Linked DNA regions of Oryctolagus cuniculus. The protein of the gene in region 1 interacts with the protein of each later gene in a pairwise test. Links are inferred from orthologs where the notes say so. Each region holds a gene or a part of one and is shown in the gene's direction. Other genes may lie near its edges. The genes, in order: MBIP, FXR2, PPFIA1, EPB41L3, TXLNB, NDEL1 and MCM7.

Region 1 (4,053 bases):
GGTTTTATGCCCTTCTAATTCAAAGATTGTGATCTGTGTGAAATTTAACCTGGGTTAAATTCCTGTTGGAATCACATAGACAGTGTTTTACTTCTTTGAAACAATTTAAGGGTTGAGCATCTTTAAAGTTACCACTCAACTGCTGCACACTTTAAAACCTGACAAATTATTTAGCAGATATGTTCCAGGACAACCACCCCAAACTCTTGGAGCTGTCGTTATAGAACCCCCAAGTCTGGGTCCCCTCCCAGGGGCAGCTGTTGCCATTTCCCTGCTGGAGCTCCCCCGGGGAATTTGGGGTGTTTTTTTATAGACTGAAATTGGAGCTGAGAGGTGCAGGGTCAGCTCATGCTCAGGTTCCCGGTTGGTCAGTGTGCTAGTGAGTTTTCTTTGATTGGTCTGTGATGCTGTGCTCCTTAGAGAATTTTTTTGATGCCCAGGTGGGCTTCTGTTGGCCTAGGAGAGGTGAAGGTGGGGCTTACAAGCAAATGGTAGTTTCCTTCTACTCCAGACCTGGAATTCCCCTAAACAACTCCTTCCAAGCAGTGCTGGCCAACAAGGGACTCCTTGAGTCCTGTGAGTGGAACTTTGTCGGGTCAGCTGTATCTCTCCCCAGTTCAGTGAATTCCTTTTGATACCCGACAGGCAAGGACACCTTGGGCTCCTGGAGACAGACAAGAGGCTGGGCCCTGTCTTTCCATTATAGGGGTTCAATCTCAGATCACAGTCAGTCAAGTCACGTCGTCCCCCCCATAGAAAAGCAAGGCATAATGGAGCACAGTGTTCTTTTACCTCCTCCTTTCCCCTGTATGAAAAATTAGTTGTGTTGACTTGTGTACGTTTTAAACAGCCCTGTAGAGTTGTGCACGTTCTATCCACTTAGAAGTTTCTTAGTGTTTAGAAACACGTGTGGCACCCACCCATTCTGACCAGCAATCTTTCTCCAAACCACGCCATACTGCCTTGTTAAAATTTCGAATGTTAACTTGGGGCCTCAAACTCTTAACATTAAAATCTAACTCTCCTCTTAACCAACACTCAGAAGAAACCTTTAAGAGTCAAAATAGGCTCCACGAGGCTGTCAGCTGACTACAACCCCAATCACCGCTCCAAATAGAGAATCTAGCCTGGCGCCAGTCAGCAGTTACCAGCTTGGCGCAAAGCTGTAGTTAACACTTGATTGGTTAACATGCCTGTCAGTCACACGGGGTAGGTGGGGCCGCAAGCCCTATCTAAACGAGACGCTTTGTTTTTACGTCATCGGGGAGCGACGAAAGCAGGAGAGGGAGGGGTGGAGTAGTGAGTGCATCTCGGCGTTGGCGGGGGCGGCTTGCGAAGGTGTCATGGCCGCTGCTACCGAGCTTAGTTACCCGAGCATCGGTGACAGGGACCTGGAACGCAGCTGCAGCCCCAGCCTCTCCCGAGAGGTGCTCTGCGAACTCTTTCGCTCTCTGCACACCCTGGCTGGACAGGTGGGTGGTGGCCCGGGGAACCGGGGCAGTGGGCCGTCCGCCCTTCCCCCACTTGTCCCTGTGGCGGAGGCCGGCCGGGGGGCAGCCGGCGGCGGCCGTGCCCGCCCTCGCTCGGTACCGGCTGCGGTCCAGATGACCACGCTGCTGTCCTCTCAGAGAGGGAGCGAGGGTGGTCCGAGGGGAAACCCAGTGGCCCGCGGAGCAGGTCTGCAGGGAATGGAAGCAGAAAAGCTTCCGTCGGGGTTTAGGGGTGCCTGCTCTCGGGGTCTTGTTCCCGGCAGCTTACTCCTTCGAGAAACTGGGTGGTCGGTCAGTACGGACTGAAGTTTTTGGAAAAGCGACCCTCTGAGTCACTTGGTTTTCTTTCTGGTTGCCCTGTGGGTGTGTGCCCATCTGTTACACTTTGCATCAGGGAGTAGAGTAAAACGGTTAATCAACTTCTAACTTAAAGTTGCTGTTTGCGGTAGAACTGCCGTCTGACGAGGTGTTCAGGAAGGAGTTTAATTGGCTCGTAAACCGCTTTTGCAGACCTACCTTATAAAATGGATTTTAAAAGGTGGGTTCTTAACACTGATAGTCAGTATTGAGATTCAAGCTGTAAACTTCGGATTGAATTTTAAACGAGGAATAGCCTTGCGGTGTGTTTGTCTGCCTCTTAGAAAGAAATAATTTCTTCCTTATCTTACGGAGACAATATTTTACTGTAACTTTGTTCTGGGACTGTTACTAGTGCATGTGGTGAAAACAGGCATTTGTGTCAAAGATAAGTTCCTATGAAATTGGAGCATTTGTCTGAATTCTGAAAATTCCCTTTTAAATCCTTGAGGGTATGGAGAGACACCTTTTTAAAAAGCTGTTGGAGTATTTTTAAAAAGCTTGGCATGTTGTGGCTTATAAAGAACATTACTGTAAGTAAGCATTCTGTTTTGTGTAATGAGGCAGTTATTAATAGAGTCTCCTAAGTGGTACACCTTGTAAACTCGGTGGGTTGCCAAGGACGTGGGTACTTCTGATGGTTATTAGAAGACCAAGGACCTTTTAAATGGTTGAAAAGTTACAGAACTTTTTATGGCTTGGACATTGGAACATTACATTTTATTCATATTCTGATATCAGGTTGAGAAAAATGTATGGTCATCCATTATTTGTAGAGTTCCTCCTGCCCCAGTGATAGGATATTTGTACAAATTCATACTGAGAGATAATTTAAACATTGCTTTTGAAATATTTGCTTGTTGAACTTTTGAAACTTTTAAAAATTTTAATTCAGATATTCTAATAGTACAAGTAGAAAATTGATTACAGTTTACTTGCGTCACCTGTCAAAAATGTTTAGGGTAAAAATTTGGTGAGGTTTTCTTGACATAGGCAAGGGACCTTCTATATAAGTATCAAAAATATGATTGCCTCTCAATTCACTGCTAACCATTTTGATGACAATCTGTAGTTTGAGATGTATTGTTTAAGAATGAAAGTCAGAGAACCATGTCCACATCAGTGTTTCCTTTTGCAATAAGTTTAAAGTTTTTTTAGCATGTATGTTGTTATATGCCCAAGTTCATACTAGATATCATCGTATTATTAACTCTCAGTTGGAAGCATAAAATTGTATGTTTTCTATTCCAGATGGCAAAATTTACTAATTTTTATCCTTAATGGGCTTATAGATGGTTCATTTTACCAAACTAAATTTAATGCTTGCTCAGATTTTCATAATTTAATAAAGTTTTACTGAAAGTACAGATTTAAATAGTCCAATTAATTGCAAACTGATAGACTTTTGACTGGTTTACTATTCCAAGTTTAAGAGAAAAATGCATAGAATTTATTACTAAAAGGGAATTTGTTGACTGAATTTTGGATAAATTGGGATAGTTTTAGAACGAATTTGCAACATTATTTTGTGGTTTTCTTAAAAGACCAAGTATCCTTAATTACCCTTAAAAGCTTCCATTATTAATTGAAATGAAGTTGTAATCCAGACATTAGGATTTATTTTCTGTAAGGTGTTTTCTCCAGAAGATGTGTTGCCTTGCCTTGGTTGAGGATTTCTTTGCTTTCTTCCAAAACCACATCCATCAATTTATTGTAACCAACTATAGATCTCTTTGAGGGCTGTAAAATTTTGGTATTGGGTTACTTCTGTACATGATAGCAGATGTCTGACAAAATTGTTAAAGTCACTATAATATTAACTAATCTTTGTGTACAGTTGTCTAATATTGGACTTTAAATGCTTCTGGTGTCATGTTCAGAGAGCGGTAAGGTTCTGTCACATGTGTTCATTCAATATGGTGTTTTTATTGGTAACCTTGAATCTGATTTCTTGCATAGTGATTCATCTTTTTGTTTTATTATAATTATAGCTCATAAGATCTGTATTTGAATTGGATGTAACACCTTTATTTATAGAAAAACGTTATTTCTGAAAAATATAGTTAAATTGATTCTTAAACACATGTTCCTAGAAAAGTTTCTGGTGATTCACTTTTCACTCAAAGATTGCAAATGGCGGTTTTCATTCTAAAGTAGATATTAGCTTTATAGATTTTTACCGTTTTCTAAATATGATTTTGTTCTG
Region 2 (3,500 bases), on another chromosome or scaffold:
TCGTTAGTGACAGAAAAAAGATGGACCTGTTTGAGTTATGCTTGTTCCTCAGCACAGTCCTAAGATTGGGGCCCCATACATTTTATTCTCCTTAACAGCAGTGTCCATTTTTCATGATCCCAAATATCTGACATCTTTTATATCCCAAGTTTTTCCTTCTGTAAACTCTGTTCATCCTTGGTAACTTCTGCAGTGTCCTTATTCTGTTAGTACCCGGGCATTAGGCCCTGTGTCTGGCCGAGTCCCGTGCTATAGTGGGGGGCTAGCCCCTCCTCTCTTGGCAGATCCTGATGTCCGCTAGGTGCTCCAGGACAGCCTCACGCTGTCTCATGGGATATTCTTAGCCTTGCTGAAGGTTGTTGGTATTTTAATTGAACTCTGGCAGGCTGCTCAGCGCACAGAGGGCAGCTGGGGAGGCCTCTGGAAGCCATGCTAGACCACCAGTTTACAGGCCGTACCCATGCAGGTGGTCCTTACCTTGTACTTCTTTCCCACCTCATCTCATTTCCGGATTTTGCCACATACCTCTCTTTCCATGCCAGTATCATTTCCTTTCTCTCTCTCACTGTTACATTCTTTTTTCCCAAATACACCTTTCTGGCCCTGTCTTCAGAGGGCTCGTGGCCCCATCTAAAACTGGCTTAAAGGTTTCCAATGTTTCTATCCCCTTATTAAGGTTGTGGTAAAATGTCATTTTTTTTTTTTTTTCTAAAATCCACTCTAGGGCTTTGTGAAGGATGTCCATGAAGATTCTGTTACCATCTTCTTTGAAAACAAGTAAGACCTTGGGACTAGAGAATCCAGCATACTAGGTCCTAGAAGGAGAGTGGAGAAGAGGGGGCGGCTGAGTCCTATGAGGCATGTAATAGGTGGGGGAGAGCTGAGGGTGTGGGTGGGCAACTTACCTGGATCCCATGAGAGGAGAGGGCTGAGAATTTGGTGAGGTTGGGCTTAGCTGACCCACTGGCTAGATTCTAGCAAGAGACAGATGACAGTACAATGGAGCCAGGCCTGAGGGCTAGCCTCTAAGGACCAGGGAGGGTGGAGATTTCTCTGTTGAGGCAGTAACCCCTTTCTGAAGGAAAGGGCAGCATGTCATTCTGAATAACGTCCATGGCACTGTTTGTTTTGCAGCTGGCAGAGTGAGAGACAGATTCCTTTTGGGGATGTCCGGCTACCACCTCCCGCAGACTATAATAAGGAGATCACAGAAGGGGACGAGGTGGAGGTAAGGGCCAGTGTCCAGAGCACGTGGAACTCACTCTCCACATGCCACTTTGCCCAGGATCCTAGGCTCTTCTCTGCTTCCTTCATGGCCCTTCTCCCCAGCTGAGCCACATCCAGCCAGGCAGCTGGTGAAGTAAAAGGCAACAGTTTCCTTCCTGTCACTGTAGCAATCAGCCACACTCTCAGGGGGCTCTACAGTTGTAGGGGATTCACTTTTCTTTCCTTTATGATGGCATCTAAAATCCAGTGCTGTTTGATTTTTATGTAGTATCTCTTTTCGTTGGTTTCTGTTTCTCTTTTTTAAAGGTTTTTTTAGAAAAGGTGTATTATTTGAGAGGTAGAGTTACAGCCAGAGGGAAAGACAGAGAGAAAGAGGCAGAGAGAGGGACCTTCCATCCGCTGGTTCACTCCCCAAATGGCTGCAATGGTCTGAGCTGGGCCAGGCCAAAGCCAGGAGCTTCATCTGGGACTCCCACGTGGATACAGGGTCCTAAGGACTTGGGCCATCTTCCACTGCTTTCTCAGGCACATTAGCAGGGAGCTCAGTTGAAAGTGGAGCAGCCGGGACTTGAACCAGCACCCATATGGATTGCTGGTGCTGCAGGCAGTGGCTTCACCTTCTACGCCACAGGTCAGGCCTCTCTTTACAGCCTCTCTATTTCTTTTTCTTTTATTAAGATTTATTTGAGAGGCAGAGTGACAAGGAGAGAGAGAAAGACAAAAATACTTTCCATCGACAGGTTCATTCCCTTAAATGCTCACATCAGCCAGGGCTAGGCCAGGCCCCAAACCAGGAACCAATAACTCCATCCCAGTCTCCCATGAGGTTGGCAGGGACTCAGGTACTTAAGCCATTATCTGCTGTCTTCTCAGGCACATCAGCAGGAAACTGGGTCAGAAATTAAGTATCCAGGCCAGCTCACTAGGCTAATCCTCCGCCTTGCGGCGCCTGCACACTGGGTTCTAGTCCCGGTCGGGGCGTCGGATTCTGTCCCAGTTGCCCCTCTTCCAGGCCAGCTCTCTGCTGTGGCCAGGGAGTGCAGCAGAGGGTGGCCCAAGTGCTTGGGCCCTGCACCCCATGGGAGACCAGGATAAGTACCTGGCTCCTGCCATCGGATCAGCGCGGTGCACCGGCCACAGCACACCGGCTGCAGCAGCCATTGGAGGGTGAACCAACGGCAAAGGAAGACCTTTCTCTCTGTCTCTCTCTCTCTCACTGTCCACTCTGTCCAAAAAAAAAAAAAAAGAAGAAGAAGAAGAAGGTAAGTATCAGGGCCAGCACTGTGGCGTAGTAGGCTAAGCCTCTGCCTGTGGCACCAACATCCCATGTGGACGCCAGTTCATGGCCTGGGAAAGCGGTGGAAGATGGCCCAGGTGCTTGGGCCCCTGCACTCATTTGGGAGATCCAGAAGAAGATCCTGGCTCCTGGCTTCGTATTAGCTCAAATGGCTATTGGGCCATTTGGAGAGTGAACCAGTGGATGGAAGACCTTTCTTTCTTTCCTTCTCTCTAACTCTGCCTCCAAATAAAATGAAATCGTTAAAAGAAAAAAGGTGGTATGCAATATGGAATGCAGGCATTTCAAGTGGCTACTTAACCCACTGTGCCACGGTACCTGCCCCTCTGGCTTCCTTTCTTTGGTTTAGGATGCATCCCAGGTATTGAAATGCTTGTTCAGTTCTTGATGGCTTTGGATAATCTTCAAGATCTCTTTTATTTTCAACTTCCCTCCAGGTTTATTCTCGAGCCAATGAACAGGAGCCATGTGGCTGGTGGCTGGCCCGTGTGCGGATGATGAAGGGAGATGTGAGTGACGGTGTAGGCCTTAGGAGAACTATTGGAGCAAGTATTTTACTCCTAGAAAGGTAGGAAGTAGATGCTCAGGCCATCTACAACGTCTCCCTGTTTCTCCTCTGCCAGTTCTATGTCATTGAGTATGCCGCTTGCGATGCCACCTACAATGAGATTGTTACCCTGGAGCGACTTCGGCCAGTTAATCCCAATCCCCTTGCAACCAAAGGCAGCTTCTTCAAGGTTACCATGGCTGTGCCTGAGGATCTGAGAGAGGCGTGAGTGTTAGGGATGTCGGGCGTGGGGGGCAGCCCTCTTTCCAGCCCTAGCCTGTCTTCATCTCCCAGGTCCCACTCGCACTTTGCAGCCTGACCTTTTGTCCCCTGGCCCTCTCAAGCCTTCCTTGCTAGGTGTGCTCTGACCAGCTGCATCTTCCCTATTCTGTGCTTTAACTGTGGTCCCTCTCATTTTCTCACCTGAAC
Region 3 (3,500 bases), on another chromosome or scaffold:
AATTCTGGCCGTGCTGCAGAGTTGCATCGTTTGGATTTTTGTAATATCTTGTCACAAAGGATAAGCTTGATAACCAAATGTTCAGACAGATCTCTGCTGGTCGTACACGTGGGTATTTATATTTTAGGTTGGGTTTTTTTTAACCAGCATTTGAGAAAATTGGCATCTCTGTCACTTTAATTTTGTGGATGTTAATTTTATATGTAATTTGAAATCTAGAGTTAGTCCAGTTTTTTCCTTTCAGGTATATTAATGTTAGATATTTATTTTCTACCTTTTTTCCCCTCTGAAATACCTCATTTAGGCCATGGCCCAAAAGGAAGACATGGAAGAGAGAATCACGACTCTGGAGAAGCGCTACCTCGCGGCGCAGCGTGAAGCCACATCTGTGCACGACCTCAACGATAAACTTGAAAATGAGATTGCAAATAAAGATTCCATGCATCGACAGGTGACGGGTTCCACAGACCTTTGTCTGGCTTTAATGAATTTTAGTCAAGTGAAAGACCTTTTTCCCGGGCTGTGGAAAGTTTGTATGATATTAGAATGTTGTGTTGGAGAGCATGGGTCACTTCAACTTAAGGTTTTGATTGTTTAGATTTTGGTTTAACTTGGAGCTCTGCTCCTTGGTTCAGTCTTTGGTTTTGGTTGAAAGATAATCTGTTGCTTGTTGTTAACATTTCTTGCAAAGAATAGAGGGTGGTGAAGGACTTCACGGCCAGTGGCCATTTGCTGGTACCTGGAGACAGTGGTCAGTGGTGAGTCTAGGAATGCAGTCTGGGCCCAGTGCTGCGATGCCACTGTTTAAGTTGCTGCCTGCAGGGCTGACATGGGCGCTGGTTCAAGTCCCGGCTGCTCCACTTGCAATCCAGTCCCTGCTAATGCTCCTGGGAAAGCAGCAGACGATGGCCCAAGTGCTTGGGCCCCTGCACCCACTTGGGAGACCTGGATGGAGTTCTTGGATCCTGGCTTCATCCTGGTCCAGCCTTGGCTGTCGTGGCCTTTTGGGGAGTGAGCTAGCAGGTGGGCGATCTCTTTCTCTCTCTCTGCCTCTCCCTCCCTCTCTGACTCTGTAACTCTGCCTTTCAAGTATATAAAAGAATCCTTTTTTTTTTTTTTTTTAAATGACATTTGGGGGCCAGCGTTGTGATGTAGCCAGGAGTGGCACCACCTGTGATGCCAGCAGCCCATATGGGCATCGGTTCCTGTCCCGGCTGCTCCACTTCAGATCCAGCTCCCTGCTAATGGCCTGGGAAGAGCTGGAGCAGATGGCCCCAGTGTTTGGGCCCCTGCCATCCACATGGGAGACTGAGGAGGCTCCTGGCTCCTGGCTTTGGCCTTGCCCAGCCCTGGCCATTGGCGGCCCTTTGGAGAGTGAACAAGTGGATGGAAGATATCTCTCTCTCTCTCTCACTCTCTCTTACTCTGACCTTCAAATAATAATGAATGAATCTTAAAACAACAAAAAAGAAATGAAATCTCTGGTAGGAGTTACTTGTTTCTGGGGTCTGGTGAGCCGCATGTACTCCTATTTCTGTGTAGCTTCTGGACATCAGGAGTTAGCCAGAAAAACCACATCAGGCTTCTTGGAAATCAGTTTGGTCTTTTATAAAGTATATTGTTCTACCAAAAAGGGAAGTAAGATGTCAGGCAGCCACTGAAAGTGCTGTGTGCAGTGACGACAGATGAGAGGCAGACAGGGGTGGCCGTGCCCGATCCAGCGTGGCGTGTCTGAGGGTGTGGGGTCTCCGTGTCGTAGCGTGTGTTGGCGTGTGTGGAGGTGAGTACACTGGGTAAGGAAGAAGGCTGTGTGGAAACGGGCAGATATGTCAGGAATCTGAGCTTAGATGATTCTTAGAGTTTTAAGAAATCTTGTGAAATTTTCTGCATTGAAAATTTTTTTAGAAGAAAATGGTTTTTAAAGAGTACTCACAGAGAAGTAAGTTGACAGCATTTCTTTCTTTTTTTTAATGTTTATTTATTTATTTGAAAGTCAGAGTGTCATAGTTACACACACACACACACACACACACACACACACAGAGAGAGAGAGGTCTTCCATCTGATGGTTCACTCCCCAGATGGTTACAACGGCTAGAACTATGCTGATCCGAAGCTAGGAGCCAGGAGCTTCTTCCGGGTCTCGCACGTGGGTGCAGGGGCCCAAGGATTTGGGCCATCCTCCACTGCTTTCCCAGGCCACAGCAGAGAGCTGGATAGGAAGTGGAGCAGCTGGATCTCGAACTGGCGCCCATGTGGGATGCTGGCGCTTCAGGCCAGGGCGTTAGCCTGCTGCGCCTCAGCGCCGGCCCCAACAGCATCTTGTCACGTGTGTTCTCGGAAGGTCTGTATCAGGATGAGAGCCACCTTTTGGCTCACACCTGTGGTGTCTGCTGGGAGCAGGGTCAGCCTCGGCTTGGTCCCTGCTTGCCTGGAGCGTTTACTGCCCCCTCCGTGGGTGAGATAACCAGGCCTCCACGAAAACTCCTTTTCCTTCACGTCTGGGAGCCTTCAGGTGTTCAGAATGGGGGCTTCAGGAAGTTCAGGCAGATGGGGTCGAGCGGCAGTGCAGACAGGTGTCCGGCTTAGGGAAGATGTTGGGGAGGACACCGAAGCCTGGCTCTTCGCCCCAGCTTCTTGCTGCTGCAGGCCCTGGGAGGCAGCGTCGTGGCTCCCGGCGCTGGGGTCCGGCCACGCACAGGGAGACCTGAATTGAGTTCCCAGCTCGTGGCTTAGGTCCTGGCCAAGTCCTGACTGTGTGGGCATTCGGAAAGTGAATCAGCGCATAGGAGCTCTCGGTCTCTGTCTCTCAAAAAAAAAAAAAAAAATTCTGTGAACTTTTTGAAGCCCCAAATACTTTGGCAAGAGGCGTTTTGCACACTGCACTCAAGCCCAGAGGTGGGCGTGTGGTACTGCAGCAAGAAAAGTCCCCTCCCCCCGCAGCTCCCAGAGCAGCCGGGCTGCCGTGGTGCTGCCGTGGTCTCTGTGTGTGTGCGTTTCTGATGGAGACGGCTGAGCGCTGACGCCTGTGACGCTGTGCTCTCTTCGTAGACTGAGGATAAAAACCGCCAGTTGCAGGAGCGCCTGGAGCTGGCGGAGCAGAAGCTGCAGCAGACGCTCAGGAAGGCAGAGACGCTGCCCGAGGTGGAGGCGGAGCTGGCCCAGCGCGTGGCAGCACTGTCCAAGGTGGGACCTGGGGCGCGGTTCTGCTGAGCTGCCGGGACGCTGCCCGGGACTCCTTCCTGGCCCTTGCTCGTCACCCTCCCTGGGTCGAGGCCCCGCATCCGTGGGACAGTCTCACCCCCACTTTTGTGTCCCTGAGCCCCTGGTCTGCAGGTGTCCTGTCTGTCCACAGGAGCGTGCTGGACACTGCTGCCGGGACTCTGGTCACCAGCTGCGAGCGTGGGATAGAGGCCTGGACAGGGCCAGGGTTTCTGTCTTTTCTGTCAGGAGTAGGAAAATGCCTTTCTTTCAGAGACAGGATCACTTGCGCTAGACTT
Region 4 (3,500 bases), on another chromosome or scaffold:
AATAAAAGAACTCACTTCCTAACTTGCCTTTTTGGAAACTGTCTACTTCCTCTTCTCCAACCCAACCCCCTTTATTCAAACAGACCAAAGAAGAAAGAGAAATTTCTGAAAAAGTTATATTTTTGCAACAAGGAAGCTCTTCATTCCTTGAGTCTCAGGTAAAAATAAACATCAAGGACTTTGTAGAAGGAATTGCTGTTCAGACTTCAGTATTATTAAAATGTCTTTAGTTTTATTTTCCTGTTTAAATTTCTCTCATTTAAAAGTAAGGTGGGTCTATAAGTTTTGCTTCAATTCTAGGGAAAAGACAAAGGAATTTCCTTAGTATTTTCATTATTTGTAACATGTCACTTCCTTGTGCTTCTGTTAGGTGATTATATGTTGTCATTGAAGCACCATGATTGTACTTTTGTCTTAGTGAAACTTCACTGCCTGTTTTTACCCACAGTTGGTTTTTCTTTACTGTACTGTAGCTGACCTTGATTGATTTTGAAAGCTCTGAACTTTTATTGGTTTTCCCATAGCCGAGTGTGATCAAGAAAATGCAGGAAGGAGGCTCTGCTGACTCTATGGTTACCTCTCGTCAAGTCATTTTCCAGAAAACTGTCCCAGCGACCCTAGAGGTTATTTTTTTCAATTCATTTCATTTAACCCAGCACCAGCATGTAATCAAGATGTAGTCATTTTCCTTAAGGCACATGCTATTTCTAGATTCAAGTTTTCAGACTACCGTAAATATGAATGTAGAAAACATCCTAGATTAAAATGTAAACCAAAGCACTCACCCGCTCCTGGTTCCCTTCTGTAAGCTATGAGGCTAGTCAACTGCCCAGTGACATCTGAATACAGACTTTCATTTCTTCTGCCGTACTGGGATTCACATTGAGGAAAGTGGGGAAGAAGCTACTGAGACAGTGAACTTCAGTTGTAAATAAATTTGCACACTGCACACGTGGCTGTGATCTGTTTATACAAGTCTCCAACAGTGTCCCTCAATGGGAGCTATTTCATGGAAGTGCCTAGAACTCAGGCACACACGATATTTATCAGGTAATTGCTCTAGTGGAGTCAGATACCAACAAAAGGAAGTACAGCTCACAAACACAGAAAATTATAAGTACAAAAATGTGAATAACGTTGGCAAGTTCTTGTGAGAATGAGGGTTTTCAAAAAGTTCCTGGAAGATGCGTAAAGTGAAAAAAACTGCATGGATTTCAAAGCTTTTTGCACCAAAATACACTTTTTCTAAATGCATTTTCCTACAGACTTTTTGAAGTATCCTTGTACTTGAAGTATACAGTATATTTAACACAGAGAATTGTTCTTTTGTGTTCACATACAGAAACTAACTTGTAATAATGACTTCAGTAATGTTTTGTAATCTTGAAATATAAAATGACCATAGTTAATCACAAGATCAAATATATTTCTTGCAATATTGACCACCAAAGCATGTTCATGTCGAGAAATCTGAAAGTGTAATTCTGCCTAAAGAGTATATTCCAGGTTGAAGGTTATAGTTAGTAAATTTCCAATGAGAAGAGAATGCAGCTGTTAATTATTACACTGCCCGTCCTGTGCAGCCCCACCTCAGGCCTGCCTGTAGCTCTTGCCCTGATTTTCTTAAAAGGTTCTTATTTTAGAAATGAGATAACCATCAGAATTTCTAATTTAGCTTTTATATTTCAAATATAGGGCACAGAGGATTGGGTTATTGTAGACAAAATACCCACTGAGGTAGTTGATGGTGATTTGAAAAAGATTGTCACTTACAAGGTGGTGACGGTGAGCAGTAGAACTGGTGACCTCCCAGCCGACATGTTAAAATCTGGCTCCCTTGACATGCACGGCCTCCATGACTTGGCCCGAGAAGTGCACTTGAAAGAAGAAAGCAAGCAGAAGATATACACGCTAGGAAAGTCCTATGACACCGTCTCCGGAAGAGTTGTGACCATGACTGGGAAAGCCAAGGAGGGGGAAAAAGCAGAGCCGCCCTCCACACTGGAAACACCTCTGAAAACGGAGAGGGGCCCCGGCCTGGCGGAATATGAGGGCCTGGAAGCCCTTGCCGGTGAGAAACCCAAGCGAGGACCCGAGGTCCAGACGACAAAGCGGAAGTTGTCAGAATCTCTGGCACCCATCAAGGAGGCCGAGTCTCGTCGGCAGAGCCCTGAGGATGAAGACACCAGGAAGGCTGCAGAGCTGAGGCTGGAAGCAGCTGGCCACCCTGGGCTGGACAGCCTGCGCCTTGGCAAAACGGAGCAGGTGCAAGAGAGTGAGGTCTTGAAGGTGGGCCTCTTCGGTCCCCGACGGAAGAGCCTGTCCGAGTGGAGATACTCCCAGGAGCCAGCCTTGACCGTGGCTACTGCTCATTACCATACCGAGTCGTCCACGTCCCGCGTGGTGGTAACCAGTGGCTCTCATTCCGCCGCAGCTTTAGATTCCAGCATGACCTGTTCTGAGGCAGTGCCCCTTCCGCCCCACACCTTCCCGTTTCTCTTGCTGCTTGGCTTTGTGTTGAGAGCAGCCAACCCAGCTTTTTGAGTTTTTTTCATGGTTCAGTCGATACCGCAGTCCCAAGAGGGCATTAAAATGTTTATTTCCAGCTACCCGTTCCCAAGATGTGATCGTGCTGCTGTGCCTGGCAATGAAGGAAAAACATGACCCGCTTTACTGGGTGCCGCCCTTCTCCTAATAACTCTCTCTCTCTCTGCTTTACCAACCAAGAGCTCAGGGTCACCCTGGTTGGCTATTTTATTTCCCATTCTTTTCCGTTTCCGAACTCCGTCTCTTAGTTTCCTTCCTTCCTCCTCCCCTTCTCCTGCGCCTCCAGCTGTGTGTAACAAGCCGTGAATGTGTCTCTGCTGAGGACCTGTGTCTCTGGTGCTTGACTCTGCCTTTCTCTGTCCACTCAGACCAAGCAGGCTTCCGGCGAAAAGCTCATGGACGGCTCTGAGATCTTCAGTTTGTTAGAGTCTGCCCGAAAGCCAACAGAGTTCATAGGAGGGGTTGCCTCCACTGCTCAGAGCTGGGTTCAGGTGCCCACTGGCTTCCCTCCTGCGTGTTTGTGCCTGTGCCTTGCTTTATGTGTGTGTGTTCGTGTTTTGCATTCAAGTGGCTTTGCCTTCGAGACCTCACAGGTGCCTTCAGGGATTGTCCTTTGTGCCTGCTTGGTGTTTCTGTCCATCCACAGTTAGTTCCGCTCCAAGGATGTACTTGGGGAGCCAGCATAGAGACCGGTGGCGAAGACACCATATCCCGTGGGGGAGTACCTGGCTTTGATTCGCAGTGCCAGCTCCAGCGGCTCACTCCAGCTTCTTGCGAATGGAGACCCTGGGAGGCAGCAGTTAATGGCTCAAGTAATTGAGTTCCTGCCACCCACTTGGGAGATCCAGGTTGTGTTCCCAGCTCCCACGCTTAGCCCCAGCCACTGTGGGCATTTGGGAATACAGGTGGCCTCTCTCTCTCTCTCTCTCTCTCTCTCTCTCTCTGCCTTTCAA
Region 5 (3,500 bases), on another chromosome or scaffold:
GTTATCTTGTTCTGGAAGCCCTTTGAAAGCAGCCCTCAAGTAGATACACTCTCTCTCCTGTTTACAGCTTACTCTCTACTCAGGAAGGTTTGAAGAGTTCCAGAGCACACTGACAAAAAGCAATGAGGTGTTTGCCTCTTTCAAACAGGAAATGGATAAAGTGAGTATTGCTTATCACCCATGAAATACTGGAATTTTCTATTTTGACAGGAAATTCTCCTTCGGGCTCATTTTTCTAAGATATTTCAATGCATTTCATGAAGTAATGAAACATTTATAGGTACAAATGATTTTTGGACTGTATTTTTTATCGGTAAGTATCTGGTGAATTATTCTTGGCAAGAGCCAAAAAATGCTAGGATATACTTTCACTCTGAGAATGAATATTTCCTTTCCCACTCCAGGATGGATTTATCCATTTTTAAAACCTCTCTCAAATTTCTAGAATTTAAGGCTGAATAAATACAAAAGCAGAAAACACTTTAAAGTTCAAAATTACATAGCTTTGACATTGTAGTAAATATTAGATCAAGAAGGGAATTCTTAATCTGAGCTCTGCTTATAACCTGTAGTAGCTGACCTGAGAATTCTCTGGAAATTAGCAAAAACAAAACTGATCCACATCTTTGCATTTTCCTAAGGTGTGATCCCATAGATTTCATAAAATTCTTAAAGGGTGATGACCTTAAAAAGTTTATAAAGTACTGATTTTGTTACTATGTGGTCAGAAGTAAAAAAAAAAAAAAAAAAAAATCATTCAGGGCTCACCTCACTTCTCTATGTGCCAGGGGCTGACAGTCAGCCTAGCCTCAGGCAGCTTGGCTTGAAGCAGCAAGTGCCCAGCTATGGTTCATCCAGGGAAACCATAACTAACTGTATCCTTTGTTCTTCACTTTACTCAAGCAGAGAGGAAATCCTACAACTGGGAATGTGAGCTGCCTCAATTTCAAAAAGAGATGACATCTTATTAACTTCTGTATGCCCCATGCCCAGCCCAGGGCCTGGTGACCAGCAGACACCGCACATGTTGCACAAAACGGAATGGAGTAACTCCAGTCCCTCTTCTGTTAACTAACCTGAATATTACTCCACTGCTCTGAGTCTCAGCTTCCCTATCTCTAAAGCAGGGGTGAAAACAGAACCATACCTATGAGACTGCCTCAAGGATGAGAGGAATGATGTGTCTAATTACATTCTGTGAACTCTCCCTCAAACTACAAATGTAAAAACAAAAAACTGCTTTTATGTGCCTACTTCTCAAATGTGCCCAAACAGTGTCAGCATTTTAATGACTAAGAAACCATGCCAGCCTTCTCACCACTGTGGAGTCTCCTATTCAATAAAGCAAATAATCTAAATTGCAAGCTTATTCATGGGACTCAGTAAAGATATTTTTGTTTTAAATGAAAGAAAAAAAAACAATGAAAAAAAAGTGTGTTCCTAAGCAGTTTCCTTTTTCCTGAACTGACTCTGGTGCAAACGTGTATGTACCAGTGACTAGAGGATGCAGAAATAAATCACAATTCTTCTGCAATCTTCATTCTTGACATCGAACAGCTGTTTGCTTCAGTAGCTGGTAACAAAAGGACTACTCTTGATGTCCAAGAGAGAACTCACAGCTTCCTCGATGCATTCATTCTTCAGGGTTAACACTAGAACATTCTATTTTCTGTAGATGACTAAGAAAATGAAGAAGCTGGAAAAGGACACCGCCACATGGAAATCCCGGTTTGAAAATTGTAACAAAGCTCTGTTGGATATGATTGAAGAGGTGAGAAAGTTTGTCTCTTAGCTTTTACCTCCCCACCCCCAGTCTAGTCAAAACATTCACACTTAGAATGTAATTAAAATTTGATAGTACAAATAATTATATTTGAAAAAGAGATAAATGGGATGCAAGGAAGGAATGTGATATATTAAATTGAAATAAAAATAATCAGAGCAAAAGCCATTTAGAATCTGATTCTAAATTAGATTCATAAAGAGCTTTGTGACCCTAACTCATATGCTTACTTGTTGATTCAACAGTTGAACAGCAGCACTCCACCTGCTAAACTGAATTGCTATTTTTTTTTAAGATTTATATATTTATTTGAAAGGGCAGAGTTCAGAGAGGCAGAGGCAGAAGCAGAGAGAGAGAGAGAGAGAGGTCTTCCATCTGCTGGTTCACTCCCCAAATGGCCGCAACGGCCGGAGCTGAGCCGATCTGAAGCCAGGAGCTAGGAGCTTCTTCCAGGTCTCCCACGCTGGCGCAGGGGCCCAAGGACTGGGACCATCTTCTGCTTTCCCAGGCCATTAGCAGAAAGCTACATCAGAAGGGGAGCAGCTGGGACTTGAACCAGTGCCCACATGGGATGCCAGCACTGCAGGCAGCGGCTTTACCCACTACACCACAGCATCGGCCCCTACACTGAATTTCTTAAAGGTAGAATGAGTCTCATTTGGCACTGAATTTCCCCAGTGCCTAGCATATCACAGGTGCAGAATAAATTAATAACTTGATTTGAATATATTGAAAGACACCAGCTGGCCGGCGCCGTGGCTCACTAGGCTAATCCTCCGCCTAGCGGCGCCGGCACACCGGGTTCTAGTCCCGGTCGGGGCGCCGGATTCTGTCCCGGTTGCCCCTCTTCCAGGCCAGCTCTCTGCTGTGGCCAGGGAGTGCGGTGGAGGATGGCCCAGGTGCTTGGGCCCTGCACCCCATGGGAGACCAGGAAAAGCACCTGGCTCCTGGCTCCTGCCACAGGATCAGCGCGGTGCGCCGGCCGCAGCGCGCCTCCGCAGCGGCCATTGGAGGGTGAACCAACGGCAAAGGAAGACCTTTCTCTCTGTCTCTCTCTCTCACTGTCCACTCTGCCTGTCAAAAAAAAAAAAAAAAAAAAAAAAAAAAGACACCAGCCAAAGCACCCAGAATAGGTGCTACTTTATTTTTATTTATTTGGAAGGCAGTTGAGGAGAGGGTGAAGAGAAGAGGGAGAGAAAGAGAGACTGATCTTCCATCTGCTGGTTCACTCCCTAAATATTGACAACAGCTGCCAGGAACTCCATCATGGTCTCCCACAAGGCGGCAGGACCCAAGCACTTGGGCCATAATTTGCTGCCTCCCAGCTGTGTTAATAGGAAGCTGGATTAGAAGCAGAAGTGGGCCCGCGCCGCAGCTCACTAGGCTAATCCTCCGCCTTGCGGCGCCGGCACACCGGGTTCTAGTCCTGGTCAGGGCGCCGGATTCTGTCCCGGTTGCCCCTCTTCCAGGCCAGCTCTCTGCTGTGGCCAGGGAGTGCAGTGGAGGATGGCCCAAGCGCTTGGGCCCTGCACCCCATGGGAGACCAGGAGAAGCACCTGGCTCCTGGCTTCAGATCAGTGCGGTGCGGTGCGCTGGCCAGGGCAGCCATTGGAGGGTGAACCAACGGCAAAGGAAGACCTTTCTCTCTGTCTCTCTCACTGTCCACTCTGCCTGTCAAAAAAAAAAAAAGAAGCAGAAGTGGCAATCAATCCCAGGC
Region 6 (4,244 bases), on another chromosome or scaffold:
CAGACTGCCAGGAGGAGAGCAGGGCTCCAGGCCAGCAGGGGCCCCTCCGAGGGTTACAGCTGGTGGGAGGCGAAGGCGGGAACAGCCCTCCAGGAGATCCAGGGCTTTCAGCACACACACACCCCCACCATCTTTCCGGGCTCTGGGGAAGATGGGAGGAGTTAAGAGGAGCCGAGGGTCATCCTGCCCCCGTCTCTGTGTGGGGCTTTGCCTGGGAGACCTCCACCCTCTGTCTTGGATCCCTCAGCCCAGGTGCCCGAGGTTTCCCACATTCTTTACCCAGGTGTTGTTTCTACAACATCGCTAAGGTTCACAAACACCTGTGGGATGACTTCCGGTGCTTTGCGGGGTGTTCCTGGGGATCCAGCAACAGACCCCCGGCAGCTCCTACCTTCCCTGGGTGACCCTAGGTAAGATCCCCACCTTGGGAAAGGCGTTCTCAGTGAAGGACCTCAAAAGCAGTTCTTCTCCTACCCCCTTTTTCCTCAAAGATTTATTTATTTGAAAGTCAGAGTTGAGAGAGAGAAAGAGGAGACAGACAGAGACAGAGAGAATCTCCCATCTGCTGTTCACTTCCCAAATGGTTGCATCCAGGCTGAAGCCAGGAGCTCTGTCAAGTCTCCCATGTGGGTGGCAGGGACCCAAGCACTTGGACCATCCTCTGCTGCTGTCCCAGGTGCATTAGCAGGGAGCTGGGTGGGAAATAGAGCAGCCTGGACTTGAACCAACACCCATACGGGATGCTGGTGCCTCAGGAAGTGCCACGGCGCCAGCCCCTTGACAGGCATTTGTTGAGTAACTATTATTAGCCTGTTCCTTTCACATTTGCTTGCAGTCACAGTTCTTACAGCTGGTGCTGCTTGTGGAGCGTGAGACTGACACGTGAGGGCTACGACCATTGTGGAGGCTACAGGTGGCTGGGGGTGGGGGTGGGGGAGCAGGTGCTCTTCAGACCAGGTGCTCTAAGACTTAGGGAGGGCGTCAGGTTTGGAAAAGGGGCAGAAAGAGGACAACCCCTGACAACTAAGGGGACTAATTTGCCTCCTATGAAGCCGGTTACTCATGCTGTCTCACAAAGCGCTGAACGACGCCCTGAGGTCAGTCCTGGAATTATCTCCGTTTTATAGATGGGGAAAATGAGATGCAGAGAGGCAAAGCCACTCGCTTCTGTTCTCTCAGCTACGAGGTAGGTCGGGGCTCTGTCTGACTTACAGGCCGTTTCTCTGATGCTCGGGGCTGCACTGGTTCTGTGCCGGGGCCACCACAGAGATAGAAACACCATTGCCCTGCCCTCATCGCCTTCTCTTACAGAAAGTGGGGGAGAGCCCGGGCATTTGCTTGGGAGACCAGGGGCTCCCCTGCCTGCCGTGGAAGGCCTGGCTCAGGAACCAGGACCCGTATTTCTTGCAGCACCACAGTCTTGCTCAACCCCCCACTGAGCAATGGGCCTGGCGGGGTTGCCTCACTTGGAGACAGCAGGCCCCAGCCTTCCTGGCTCTCGCCCACTTCCTGTCCTGCGTCTCTGTTGTGGGTCGGTGATTCTCACTCTTCCTGTTGACTTCTCCTTTGTTTCAGCCGGTGCAGCGCAAGCCTTGCGGCTGCTGCGGATGTGAGCGGCCAAGGCTCCGGGACCCAGGACAAGGTAGCTTGGGATGGTGGGGAGTGGGAGGTGGGGGCTGATTGGACAAGGTCTGGGTCAGGAGAACACTGGCTCGGGAGACATCGGAGGAGGGGACCTGGTGTCTGAGGACCCCCTCTGCCTTCGGGATGTGGGTGGTTGGGGGGGTTGTTGGAGGCCAAGGTCAGTCTGTGAAGTTGTTTGTGTCCCTGTGGACAACAGGGGTTTGCTTTGGTGTCTTTCTGATCCTCCTAGGCTTCTGATCACCTTGACTTGTTTTTTGTGGCGTTGTGGAGGGAGCTCCTTGGGCTGGGATGGGTGATGGGGAGCTGGCAGGGCCACTGTTGGTGTGCTGCACGGTGATCTCACAGTGCTGGCTCACAGAGGGGCTTGCGACTGAGCCTTGGCTCCGTGGCTGGCTGGCTTGGTGGCTTGTGGACCAGATACTTCCTTCTGAACCTGGGCTGTCATCAGCAAAGTGGAACACACCTGGTTTCACTGGGTTTTTGTGGTGCTGAAGCAGGAAAATGTGAGGGGGTTTTGTAAACTGTAAGAATATATTCTTCAGGGCTCACAGTAACTTTTATTTCATTTTCTAAATGGAAGTATATATATAGATATATTTTTTCCCTGATAGTTGATAAAAATGGGAACAATACAGTACAGAGAACTGGGGAATATCTGTACCCCAAAAATGAAGACTTTGGGATACAGACTTTTAGCCTTACATGAGGAATTATTTTTTAAAGATTTATTTGAGCCGGCGCCGTGGCTCAATAGGCTAATCCTCCACCTTGCGGCGCCGGCACACCGGGTTCGAGTCCCGGTTGGGGCGCCGGATTCTGTCCCGGTTGCCCCTCTTCCAGGCCAGCTCTCTGCTATGGCCAGGGAGTGCAGTGGAGGATGGCCCAGGTGCTTGGGCCCTGCACCCCATGGGAGACCAGGAAAAGCACCTGGCTCCTGGCTCCTGCCAGGATCAGCGCGGTGCGCCGGCTGCAGCGGCGGCCATTGGAGGGTGAACCAACGGCAAAAAGGAAGACCTTTCTCTCTCTGTCTCTCTCTCTGTCCACTCTGCCTGTCAAAAAAAAAAAAAAAAAAAATTTATTTATTTATTTGAAAGGCAGAGTTACAGAGAGGCAGAGGCAGAGAGAGAGAGAGTTCTTCCATCCACTGGTTTGCTCCCCAAATGGCCACAATGGCCAGAGCTGAGCCAATCCAAAGCCAGGAGCCAGGAGCTTCTTCCAGATCTCCATGTGGGTACTGGGACCCAAGGACTTGGGCCATCTTCTACTGCTTTCCCAGACCATAGCAGAGAGCTGGATCGAAGTGGAGCAGCTGGGTTTTGAACTGGCACCCATATGGGATGCTGGCACTGCAGGCAGCGGCTTTATCTGTTATGCCACAGCGCTGGCCCCATTGATACGCTTTTGACTCATTTGTTCAGACTCCCTTAAGAAAAGCCCTATCGGTTCATTTATTTTAAATCCAACGTCTACCTCTGTGAAAGCAACACAGAGCTTGCAATGAAAAACAGCATCTCCACGTCCCACCCCTCCACTTCCAGGCTCTCCCTACCAGAGGCAAATATTTTGAAATTTTTAGTTGCTTTTCTTTCCAAATAGAGTGCCTATGTGGCTATTTCTTTATTTTTCTGTGTTAATCATGATCTATTGGTTTCTTATTGTAAAAGGCAAGGGTATAAAACTCTCACCCTGCCCACATTACTGTCCCCCCATCCTCCTGATATGGCATAACACCAATTTGGTTAAGTCAGTATTTGTGCTTATGTTATATGTGTTTGTTACGCTGTGACTGTATTAAGTTTTCTCGGTGCTATATAAATTATGATGATGACGTTCCCTTTCTTTTGTCTATTTGTTTCCCTGGAGCTGATAGTTGCCTTAGTTTTTATGACACATGTCACTGACTCCTCTCCAAAAGAGCTATTAAATTCCTGTCAATTTGATCTGACACATCAGATAATCTCTCAGCTTCTGTCTTTTTTCTCTTGGAGACATCTCCGTGGGAGCCTCGTCCCATCACGCCAGTCTGGACTAGCTGCCCCCAGTCCTACTGCATACTATTGTCCTGGGACACCCTAAACATCATCTTAGGAATCAGTTCTCACTCTCTTGCACGAATCCTCTCTCTTTCAGGTCCTACTTTAAAACTGATTACTTACTCCCTCTCTCTCTCTCTCTCTGTGTATGAGAGAGAGAGAGAGAGAGAGAGATTGATTTCCCATCTGCTGGTTCGCTCCCTAAAATGCCTGCATTGGAGAAAACTGGAAGCTGGGCGCTCCATCCAGGTCTCCCACATGGGTGGCAGGGACCCAAGTACTTGAGCCATCACCTGCTGCCTCCCTCCCAGGGTCTACTTTAGCAGACAGCTGGAATTGGGAGCCAGAGCCAGAGCCAGGCATGAAACGCAGGCACTCTAATGCGGGACATGGGGGTCATAACCTGAGGCTTAACCAAAAGAAGCCCACGCCTGTGACCTGGGTTTGTGTCTGCAGAAGTGGGAAGGAGTGTCACCACACGCCTGCAGGTCTGAGATTCCTGCACGAGTTTCATGGTGTCGCGTACCCAGGGACCATTTCTAAGTGGGTATTGATTGCCATAAGCAA
Region 7 (2,257 bases), on another chromosome or scaffold:
AACATGATGTGGAAATCCCTCAGCGATACTGGAGTCAAACACAGAGTCACCCACTCGTTTTTCTGCTTAAAAGTCCTTACTTCTGAGAGTTTTCTCATTAAATGGAGGAACCATTAGGCAGAAAACACCATGCCCATGTGTGTACCCCATTCCCCCTCTTCATGTTCTGCTTTCCCATGAACCTTTTCTCCCACAGACGCTACATAGCCATGTGCCGTGAGAAGCAGCCCACAGTGCCAGAGTCCCTGGCAGACTACATCACAGCAGCATACGTGGAGATGAGGCGAGAGGCCTGGGCCAGTAAGGATGCCACATACACTTCCGCCCGGACACTGCTGGCCATTCTCCGACTTTCCACTGCTCTGGTGAGTGCCTGGTTCCCCGTACTGCTGGAGGGTGTCCGTTTCCATCCCTACTGGCAATGAACCCTCACTTGGTCCTCTCGCTGCCGCCTCCTCCCACACCCGCCCTGCTGGGGCTAAAGTGCTGACAGTGCAGATAGTGGTCCTGTCCGTGCTACCGCACTGTGGGTACTTGCTGCTCCAGCAGGGCACGCACGTCCACGGAAGGAGAGGCCTTCTCTCCCCACTTCTGCAGCCTCACTGAAGCGGGGGAGGGTCCCTCTCTCTCCCCACCTCCTTGATCCTGTGCTATAAGCTTCCTTTCTGTCCTCACATCTCGGACCGTAGTCCCGGGGGCTCCAAAGTGCTGTTCGTGCAGGTAGTGTGATTACCTGACCTACTGCTGAGCTAGCACTTCCCGAGCCCCTGGGACACAGCCTCTCTGCCAACCGCCTGCTAGGCTGAGCTCCCCAGGCTGCATCTGTCGTGGTGGGGAGCCCACTGGAGTTCGGAAGGGTCTGGTCTCCCTCACAGGACAGCTGAACACCGGGACTGGCCAGTGTTGAGAGGCGGAGACTTGGGCAATTGCTGGACGCTGCCCTGGGCATTGCACTTGTCTCGGTCTGACAGTGCCGGCCCTACACTGCGGATGTGGGGGAGCAGGGGAGGGGTCCCTGCTCCTTTTGCGAGCAGACGGCACATAGGTTGTCCAGCCTTAAAGCTGGAACCAAGGGGGTTTCTCTGACTTTATTCCATTCTCCTCCTGTCCCCCTCTCTCCCCTACTTTCCCCTTAGGCACGTCTGAGAATGGTGGACACAGTGGAGAAGGAAGATGTGAATGAAGCCATAAGGCTCATGGAGATGTCCAAGGACTCACTTCTGGGCGACAAGGGGCAGACAGCCAGGTGAGTGGTTTAATGATGAGATTGGGTCACCTTGACCGTTGCAGGCTTCAGCATCCAGATGCATGAGCTGACCACTCTCCGTTGTCACTGTCAAGTGTCCTGGCTTGTGCCCTGATTCCATACCCTCGTGTTTCCTTCAGGACACAGAGGCCAGCAGATGTGATATTTGCCACTGTCCGCGAGTTGGTCTCGGGGGCCCGGAGCGTCCGGTTTTCTGAGGCAGAGCAGCGCTGCATATCCCGTGGCTTCACACCTGCCCAATTCCAAGCAGCTCTGGACGAGTATGAGGAGTTGAATGTCTGGCAGGTCAATGCTTCCCGGACACGGATCACTTTTGTCTGATTCCAACCTGCTTGAGACCTTGGGGACCCACTGTGCTCGCCGCTCACCTGCTGCCTTTGCAGGTGTAACCCAGCTCCGGAGGGGTGGGAGGAGCCCCTCTTCCTGTGCTGCACTTGCTTGTTTTGCTACTTTTGTTAATATAATAAAGTGTGTAGATTGCTGCCTTGTACCTTGGTCCTGACTTCTGTTAAACAGGTGTTATGGGGCTTTAAGAGTCCTCTCTCCTTCCCCTTTATGCTGGCCCTACCCCATCTCTGAGCTTTCTGAGAAAGTACCTTCGCTACCCACCAGCCACCACGAGATGCTGGGGAGGCAGTGAGGAGCAAGTTCCTATTTAACCTCAGCACCAGTGAGAACCATAGGCAAGACAGCGGTTCCCTTTCCTATTTCTTGAGGTGTATCCATCACAACAGCTCAGATAGCTCGATCCCCAGCTTCTGTAAAGCCCCTTCAAGGGGGCTGAGGAAAAGACCAGGAGTGGCATGCAGTGGTGTTACCAGGCACAGGTAAATCCCCGCTTTCTGGCCTTTCCCAAGTGAGTGCCAATAGCACCACTGTCAACAGGCAGGGGTGAGGCACTGGGTCAGTGCAGTAACCCAGGGGAAACCACTCCCTCTAATTCTCAGCACCCACAGGAGCCAGGCTTTTGAAATGTCCCTAATAAAAATG

What was found.
Region 2: the proteins of MBIP (region 1) and FXR2 interact in binary tests that used the Homo sapiens proteins (3 or more experiments, as listed by UniProt). The two-hybrid records come from large-scale screens. The link is inferred for Oryctolagus cuniculus from reciprocal best matches to the Homo sapiens genes MBIP and FXR2.
Region 3: the proteins of MBIP (region 1) and PPFIA1 interact in binary tests that used the Homo sapiens proteins (3 or more experiments, as listed by UniProt). The two-hybrid records come from large-scale screens. The link is inferred for Oryctolagus cuniculus from reciprocal best matches to the Homo sapiens genes MBIP and PPFIA1.
Region 4: the proteins of MBIP (region 1) and EPB41L3 interact in a two-hybrid assay, tested with the Homo sapiens proteins (2 studies listed by BioGRID). The two-hybrid records come from large-scale screens. The link is inferred for Oryctolagus cuniculus from reciprocal best matches to the Homo sapiens genes MBIP and EPB41L3.
Region 5: the proteins of MBIP (region 1) and TXLNB interact in binary tests that used the Homo sapiens proteins (3 or more experiments, as listed by UniProt). The two-hybrid records come from large-scale screens. The link is inferred for Oryctolagus cuniculus from reciprocal best matches to the Homo sapiens genes MBIP and TXLNB.
Region 6: the proteins of MBIP (region 1) and NDEL1 interact in binary tests that used the Homo sapiens proteins (3 or more experiments, as listed by UniProt). The two-hybrid records come from large-scale screens. The link is inferred for Oryctolagus cuniculus from reciprocal best matches to the Homo sapiens genes MBIP and NDEL1.
Region 7: the proteins of MBIP (region 1) and MCM7 interact in binary tests that used the Homo sapiens proteins (3 or more experiments, as listed by UniProt). The two-hybrid records come from large-scale screens. The link is inferred for Oryctolagus cuniculus from reciprocal best matches to the Homo sapiens genes MBIP and MCM7.

Annotation. Positions count from the first base shown.
Region 1 is NC_091443.1:39,323,082-39,327,134, forward strand, and holds the start of MBIP (MAP3K12-binding inhibitory protein 1), read left to right. Parts: upstream 1-1,253; 5' UTR 1,254-1,343; coding exon 1,344-1,472; intron 1,473-4,053. UniProt on the Homo sapiens protein: Inhibits the MAP3K12 activity to induce the activation of the JNK/SAPK pathway. Component of the ATAC complex, a complex with histone acetyltransferase activity on histones H3 and H4.
Region 2 is NC_091448.1:52,166,767-52,170,266, reverse strand, and holds part of FXR2 (RNA-binding protein FXR2), read left to right. Parts: intron 1-724; coding exon 725-777; intron 778-1,134; coding exon 1,135-1,228; intron 1,229-2,961; coding exon 2,962-3,033; intron 3,034-3,147; coding exon 3,148-3,296; intron 3,297-3,500. UniProt on the Homo sapiens protein: mRNA-binding protein that acts as a regulator of mRNAs translation and/or stability, and which is required for adult hippocampal neurogenesis. Specifically binds to AU-rich elements (AREs) in the 3'-UTR of target mRNAs.
Region 3 is NC_091432.1:2,279,229-2,282,728, forward strand, and holds part of PPFIA1 (liprin-alpha-1), read left to right. Parts: intron 1-304; coding exon 305-451; intron 452-3,051; coding exon 3,052-3,186; intron 3,187-3,500. UniProt on the Homo sapiens protein: May regulate the disassembly of focal adhesions. May localize receptor-like tyrosine phosphatases type 2A at specific sites on the plasma membrane, possibly regulating their interaction with the extracellular environment and their association with substrates.
Region 4 is NC_091441.1:62,322,209-62,325,708, reverse strand, and holds part of EPB41L3 (band 4.1-like protein 3), read left to right. Parts: intron 1-83; coding exon 84-158; intron 159-524; coding exon 525-623; intron 624-1,695; coding exon 1,696-2,406; intron 2,407-2,915; coding exon 2,916-3,038; intron 3,039-3,500. UniProt on the Homo sapiens protein: Tumor suppressor that inhibits cell proliferation and promotes apoptosis. Modulates the activity of protein arginine N-methyltransferases, including PRMT3 and PRMT5.
Region 5 is NC_091436.1:29,593,107-29,596,606, forward strand, and holds part of TXLNB (beta-taxilin), read left to right. Parts: intron 1-67; coding exon 68-160; intron 161-1,675; coding exon 1,676-1,771; intron 1,772-3,500. UniProt on the Homo sapiens protein: Promotes motor nerve regeneration. May be involved in intracellular vesicle traffic.
Region 6 is NC_091448.1:52,861,497-52,865,740, forward strand, and holds the start of NDEL1 (nuclear distribution protein nudE-like 1), read left to right. Parts: upstream 1-1,444; 5' UTR 1,445-1,642; intron 1,643-4,244. UniProt on the Homo sapiens protein: Required for organization of the cellular microtubule array and microtubule anchoring at the centrosome. May regulate microtubule organization at least in part by targeting the microtubule severing protein KATNA1 to the centrosome.
Region 7 is NC_091450.1:42,362,448-42,364,704, reverse strand, and holds the end of MCM7 (DNA replication licensing factor MCM7), read left to right. Parts: intron 1-196; coding exon 197-365; intron 366-479; exon of another isoform or gene 480-540; intron 541-701; exon of another isoform or gene 702-763; intron 764-908; exon of another isoform or gene 909-968; intron 969-1,136; coding exon 1,137-1,246; intron 1,247-1,386; coding exon 1,387-1,588; 3' UTR 1,589-1,757; downstream 1,758-2,257. UniProt on the Homo sapiens protein: Acts as a component of the MCM2-7 complex (MCM complex) which is the replicative helicase essential for 'once per cell cycle' DNA replication initiation and elongation in eukaryotic cells.